Linked DNA regions of Saccharomyces cerevisiae S288C. The main gene of each other region encodes a partner of the protein of the gene in region 2 in a complex. Each region holds a gene or a part of one and is shown on either strand. Other genes may lie near its edges. A codon is read from its position in the direction of its gene.

Region 1 (3,758 bases), on a different chromosome or scaffold from region 2:
ATTTTTGTGGGTGGTTATTTTCAAACCCTTGAAGAGAAGAATGGTCATCCTGTCTCTCACTGTTATAGTCTGTGACGAACTTGATTAAAATCCTTAGTAGTTGTGGTTGAGTAAATGCTAGAACATCATGAATTGCTTTAAAGAATGCGGCTAAAAGCATTTTAGATCCAAAAGTTCTGCATATAGCCCATGATAATGAAGGATTTGATTTTTGCTTCAACTCATTTTCCCAGTTTTTCTCCAATTTTTGAGAGAGTTCTTCACTACTAAAGTTCCTCGGTAATTTATATAAATCTGCTTCCACTAAGTATTTTTCATAGCCAGTTTTCATCAAACCTGACATCCAAGAGAAGGTAATCCTGGAAAATATGTTTGCGCTATCGTATGGATTTGGTTTTCTTCTTGTTAAAGTTTGATGTATGTGTTGATGTGGCATTAGCGGCTTCTTTGGAAGAGCTTCAAGTAACAGGATACTGGCACATGTTATTACTTGGAATAACGTTAGTATGAAACCCGTTTGTCCGGAATACCAAATGCCTTCGTAGGTGTGTCTAATTAGAATATTTATTAGTTTAGCAAAATTACCGAATGTTTCAAAAAGCCAATAGAATAAAAGTACCGTATTGGCTACAACTGATCTATCGTATTCTATCCAGTGTAAGGCTAAAGCAACAAATAAAGATAACATTGTAGAAGCATATTGACTTACAATGGTAAAGTTTTCCGCTTCTTCTTTAGAAATATTTAAAGACGCAAGTGAAACAAACGCTATCTCCAACAGAACTAGTGCCATCCTAGAGACAATAATCCAATTCCGCCTATATTTGATGCCAGAGTGTTTTTTCTTGCAAAGGTTAACTAAATCTCTGATACCGAAGGTTATCATGAAAATTGCTGATAGATTTAGGATCACACCGTCGATGAAGCATTGAGTAAAGTCACCGTAAAAGGATATAGGTCCAAACCCTTCAGGAGATCTACAGAGCTTGCAGGCCCATGAAACAAGATTACCAGCCATTTTCTTGTTCTTTACGGTAGTACGATACCCCTAATTTATTCTCAAACTGTTAATTGAAAAATTGTAGGTTGTAAACCAGCTTCCACATAGCAGATGATCACAAGAGGTTATCGCACCTTTTATAGCAGCTGCTAACTTTTTTCATCAATTTCGTAATTACTAAGCCGTAACCTTCCACCGCCCAAGCATCACACCAGGAGTTACATATTTTTGTATTATCATAAAGAAACACACGCCAAGATATCTACAGAAACCAGATGTTAGCATTAGATATATATATTCGTATTGATGCAGCATAACAAGCGTACTATGGATTGCAAAGTAATGTAGATTCCTGACCAGTAGATCTGCTCGCGCAAGAGAAACATTCATGAACTCTAACGACAATAACAGTAAATCCACCTCACGGAGAACGATAAAAGTCTTCATTTCTCCATGAGGTGGAAACGTTGTTTGAATATTAAACATAATACTTGAACTTCTTGTGTAATTTTTATTTTTTAATCGAAGTCTACTCCGAAGTCTCCTATAAAGCGTAAGGCGCGTCTCCAAAGTGCTATTTTTCAAGATCAATTCAGCTTCAAAGAAGCTTTGATACCTACGGGGCAATGCAAAGGCTGCCAGTCGAAACAAACAGCGAAAGCTAGCCCATAATTTCTTGAGCTGTTGATTTTGATTGTGATATTTTTCATACTTTAGAAGAAGATATGCGTGCGCACAGAATCGATACATTTCTCATAAGAGAAAACATCAAACTGGAGATCATACATGAATCGAATTCCTATTTTGGTGGAGAACATATATCAATTGCTTTCCGATTTAAGCACCTAGGCTCACAGCATGAATTGTTCAACTATAAAGAAAAGCTTCTCACTGTCGATAAAGCTGTTGAAGAGAAGTTGGAACAACAAGCGAAAGTGCAAGATGATGGTGAAGGCACGATGGAAAATCAAACCTGGTCCCTAAAATCATTACTAGGTGCCTTCAAAAGAACAGGCGAACCTGAAGAGAGTGTGGATGTGGATAACATGAAAATGCTAAATGAGAGTAAGATGTTAAGAGAAAAAATACAGAAGCAAATGTATTTTCATCAACCTGTAACGTTAATATCCGGTTATGTTCAAATATCGGGGGTCTTTCAATACGATTCAGAGGTAATTTCAGAGTCAAAATTTAAACAAGATGAAGTAAAAATGGTAGGACTAGATATTGTACCTGGACATACGACAAATTCTGTTCTTGCATTGGAAGATGGAGAACATTTCAAAGGTAAAAGAAATTTAACCAACTACCTCAACTCAGATTATACAAATGTGACCAATGGTCTTCTTTTCTCAGAAAGCGGTTCTAGGGGAAGAACAGGTACCTATAACGAACGGACCTTAATGATATCAAACGATACCAGTATAAAAACATTACCTCTTCTTTTAATACCACAGACGCTTTTATTTTCTGAAATTTCTTTAGAACCAGGTGAAGTAAGAACATTCTATTTTAAATCCACAAAGCTGCCAAAAGATATATGCCCAAGTTATTCATCGTCAAAAGTGGCATCAATAAATTACACGCTGGAGGTTGGTGCGGATGTACTTTCTGATGATAATATCGAGAAATTTTCAAATAGAGTCCCAATAACAATAGCACCATATATTAGTTCGAATGCCGAACAGTACACATCACGTCTGGATAAGCCTGCTATCATATTAAAGACAGGTAACATAAAGGAACTAAAGCCACGTTTGTTTACTCGAAAAGTTTCTACGGCTTCTGCTGTATCATTTGGTAGGAGAAAATCTTCTATAATTGACATTGATTCTCCATTAGAAGATAATGAATTTGTCAAGCGTGTCAAAAAAAACTTCATTGAACTGGTGGAATCTAACCAAAATGTGTCAAGAGATATAGACGAACTTATTGACTTGCAAATGGGGGTACAGTTCGGAAAGGATGAGGATTCTTCGGATCCTGAACCCAACGACTCACACTTTTCGAACGAAATGGTGACGTCTGCAGAGTCTAGCCTGAGAAGCGATGCTGTAACTAAGAGGAGAAAAAGTTATTCGGTACGCGATAACATTTCTAACCTCGAGCAAAAGATGTGGAACGATTGTTCTCTCGTTAAGTCAGATGAGAATTCTAATCTTCTACCTCAGCTAATTAATTTACAGAACGCATATCAAATTAACAGAAATAATGAGACTATGGCAAAAGTATCCTTATCAGCACCTTTTTATAAGACAACTGATGATATAAATTTAGTCATTGAATTAGATCCGATAACGACGCCTTTACTTAAAGTGACTTCGTTGACTGTATCCTTAGAATCGTTTGAAATTATAAATCCAAAATATAAGACTGAAGGAAAAGGAATAGGGAGCAAACCAAAAGGAAACTCGGTGTATGAGAAACATTTTATTTGTTTCGATGAGTGCAAGTCCGTATCGGTGAAATTACTTCCTCCAAGATCGCCTACAAACCAGATTACCGGACAATTCAAGACAGATGTTTTTCAACATAAGTGGATGATAGGACTAAAATTTGTAATAATTGCAAAGACAGAAAGTATCACTTTGGATCAATTTTATGAGGATAAAAAGGGCATCCTATTCCATTCAAAAGAGAATTTAGAAGGTGAAGAGTTTACATGTTACGTTCCCATTCCAATACTGTGTACATCCGAAGATTTCATGGGATGGTAAGCAATAAATGGGTGCAGTTTACTCGTATAATTGGTTTTGCA
Region 2 (3,125 bases):
ATAACGGCCAAGCATTTCCAACTGACTGGATTTTCCATTGCGATGCCAGTCTCAAGTAAATAATTTAAAACTTTGGAGTCTTCGTCTATATTAATCTCAGAAGAAAATCTTAATTTTAAAATGAAATGCCAGATATCATCACTTGGAAGATTTGAATCGGTGATTTTAACGGCAACATTTATGATGTGAAATAACAACTCAAAATTTTGAATTACTTCTCTCTTTATTACTAGCAAATGGAGAAATTCCTGCAGTTGTTTAGAAGTTTCCAAAGTCATTAACCCATAGTGGATTCCTTTCGTTTCATTCCTAGTCTGTGCTAAGTCATTTTTCAGGCAAACACCAAAAATCTTTTTCTTCAAACCTTCCATTCTTATCACCGTATTTGCTGTCCCTTTGTGGTCCTCACTGATTAAAAAATCTTTGTTCTATTTTTCTTATTACCTTTAATGCTTCACGAATGATGTGAATGTTTTGCGAATGATGTGATTGAATCCATCTGATCCTGCTGCGAAATCGTAGTTTATTTAGCCGCTGAACCCTTTGAGCAAGTATTTATCGTTTTTAACGTTGAAAAAGTAGTCATATTCAAATTATATAAACCAGCCAATAATACGTTACTTTGCCTTTTTAGATCACACAATTAAGCGGATACAAGATCACCCATCATAAAGGGTTGGCAAACGCCATTGTTTTTGTCGAACCTTACCTGATATCTCCAGAAATCCAATGTATATCTTCTGTATGAAAATATGAATTGTGAGTGCACATGCCTTTTCTAACAGGGAAACCTGTTGTGATTTGTCATTGAATGTGATGAAAAGCTCCTCCAGTCGCCTCGGCTTGGCTTGGCTTGTCTTGGCTTTTTTGGTTTATTCTTTCTGTCCTGAGATAAAAATTGTAGTAAATCTATACTTCTGGAAGTTTCCCGCGACGAAAATGAACGAGGAAAATAAAAAATTTCATGTTTAAAATCCTGTAATTGATTGCTCTTCCACGCACAGTAAGTTGCAAAACCAGAAGAATAACTGAAAAACCCTAAGCAATCATGTCTAGTCGCCAAGGTGGTAAGATGAAGCCTCTAAAGCAAAAGAAGAAGCAACAACAGGACTTAGATCCTGAAGACATTGCCTTCAAAGAGAAGCAAAAGGCCGATGCTGCTGCTAAGAAAGCTTTGATGGCTAATATGAAAAGTGGTAAACCTTTAGTGGGTGGTGGTATCAAAAAATCTGGTAAGAAATAAAAGGCCTTTAACAACGTCTAATAAAAATTTACTCAGTATTTTCTAGTTCTCGTTTTTTAAGTAAATACATATATTACCAAAGAAAAGCTATTTGCAAGATATATCGTTCTTTCCGATGTTTTACAATCGTAATTACTATGTATAATGGTTACATCTAGCAAATTTGGAGGTTTCCTAAATAAAGCCCCTTGCGTGTCTCTCTAGAGGTACGAAAACAACTGATATATAATGGACCCTTTTCTATTGTGGTGACAGGCATAAGGATAAATATTTATAGATGGCTAAGGAAAATAAGAAAAATACTTCTCCCTATTCATGAACCGGGCATCTTGAGTAGAATAGGGTGCTTCTATTCGTTAGTGCTGGTATTAACTTCTAGTGAAAAATGGCCGAATAATTTCCGGGTAATAAAGCCTTCAGCACAGCTCAATTAGTGGAGGAAAATATTGCCCATATATAGATTGTTACTATGTATGATGTAAGAATATCACAATTGGGCACTTAAGGTTGTGTGAAAAGAAGTGTTTGAAGCTGTTGATTCTGAACAGTAAAAGATAAACAAAGAAGAGATTAACAATGAGCAGATCCGGGAAATCATTGACAAAGTACAAAATTGTTTTTTTGGGAGAACAGGGTGTTGGAAAAACATCGCTGATCACTAGATTTATGTATGATACGTTCGATGATCATTACCAAGCCACGATTGGTATAGATTTTCTTTCCAAGACCATGTATTTGGATGATAAGACAATTAGATTACAGTTATGGGATACAGCAGGTCAGGAAAGATTTAGATCATTAATACCTTCATATATCAGAGATTCGAGAGTTGCTATTATCGTTTACGACATTACGAAGAGAAAATCATTTGAATATATTGATAAATGGATAGAAGACGTTAAAAATGAAAGAGGTGACGAAAATGTTATATTGTGCATTGTTGGTAACAAAAGTGATTTATCAGATGAAAGGCAAATCTCAACCGAAGAGGGAGAGAAAAAAGCAAAACTATTGGGTGCTAAAATCTTTATGGAAACGTCCACAAAGGCAGGCTATAATGTCAAAGCTTTATTCAAAAAGATTGCCAAATCGCTGCCTGAATTTCAAAACAGCGAGTCAACTCCTTTGGATAGCGAAAATGCAAATAGTGCAAACCAAAATAAACCGGGAGTCATTGATATTTCTACAGCAGAGGAGCAGGAACAAAGCGCTTGTCAGTGTTAGCACCTAATATTTCAGTTCTATAGGGCATAAGGAGAACTCTTTGTGTGCGTCATATTTTTTAGTGAACTACCAGCACATAATAATTGTACTGATAATATTAATAATAATCATAATCATAATGTACTTGACGATCTGATGTGTAGGAGCTAGTACTCACTAAACATGGTTGTATTAAAGAATGGTATTAAAACTTTTTATAAAGAAGTATGGAGTGTATAAAGTTATCAAACAACAACAAAAACAACAACAACGTAAAAAAAATATAGAAGAAATAGAAATGACATATTCTAGTTTTTGATTAATTGTTCAGTACGAAGGAAAAGATTAAGTAAAGTGTCACATAGAATCGAAATCTGTGTCCACATAACGGCCATTTCTCAGTAACGTCTTGCATAAGCGTGGCATAATTTCGACTTGAAGGGGCTCTAGAGGAAATTTCTCGCCATCGACAGAGAACAAGCCGTTCCCTAGCTTTGGTATTATCTTGTATGCCAAAATTTTAGAGTGTAAGACTTCCGGTTGTAAAACATGGGAACCCTTATCTAGTCCCAGCAGGATTGGTGCCATCCTCGTCAACGAGGTTCTTGCATCGGTGATAACCATATCCATTGTACCATCTGAAGGAAGCGCTGCCGGAAAGAATTTAGTGTCAGCAGCC

Evidence for each region. The genes of interacting proteins can lie anywhere in the genome.
Region 1: the proteins of YPT6 (region 2) and RGP1 are in contact, whole or in part, in a cryo-EM structure (PDB 9AYR), measured with the Saccharomyces cerevisiae proteins. Residues at the interface, in NP_013363.1 of Saccharomyces cerevisiae: Leu8 (codon at 1,841), Asn195 (codon at 2,402), Lys196 (codon at 2,405), Pro197 (codon at 2,408), Gly198 (codon at 2,411), Val199 (codon at 2,414), Ile200 (codon at 2,417), Asp201 (codon at 2,420), Ile202 (codon at 2,423), Ser203 (codon at 2,426), Thr204 (codon at 2,429), Glu206 (codon at 2,435); in NP_010421.1 of Saccharomyces cerevisiae: Gln462 (codon at 3,109), Gln487 (codon at 3,184), Asn488 (codon at 3,187), Ala489 (codon at 3,190), Tyr490 (codon at 3,193), Gln491 (codon at 3,196), Ile492 (codon at 3,199), Asn493 (codon at 3,202), Arg494 (codon at 3,205), Asn495 (codon at 3,208), Asn496 (codon at 3,211), Glu644 (codon at 3,655), Phe645 (codon at 3,658), Thr646 (codon at 3,661), Cys647 (codon at 3,664), Tyr648 (codon at 3,667), Val649 (codon at 3,670), Pro650 (codon at 3,673).

The regions. Positions count from the first base shown.
Region 1 is NC_001136.10:726,534-730,291, forward strand, and holds RGP1 (Rgp1p), read left to right. Parts: upstream 1-1,725; coding exon 1,726-3,717; downstream 3,718-3,758. Other genes in the region: ATP-binding cassette glutathione S-conjugate transporter YCF1, read right to left, coding at 1-1,018. UniProt on the Saccharomyces cerevisiae protein: The RIC1-RGP1 complex acts as a guanine nucleotide exchange factor (GEF), which activates YPT6 by exchanging bound GDP for free GTP. It is thereby required for efficient fusion of endosome-derived vesicles with the Golgi.
Region 2 is NC_001144.5:667,586-670,710, reverse strand, and holds YPT6 (Rab family GTPase YPT6), read left to right. Parts: upstream 1-1,819; coding exon 1,820-2,467; downstream 2,468-3,125. Other genes in the region: RED1 (Red1p), read right to left, coding at 1-371; TMA7 (Tma7p), read left to right, coding at 1,049-1,243; VPS63 (Vps63p), read left to right, coding at 2,148-2,474; sphinganine kinase LCB5, read right to left, coding at 2,804-3,125. UniProt on the Saccharomyces cerevisiae protein: Protein transport. Might participate in post-Golgi transport.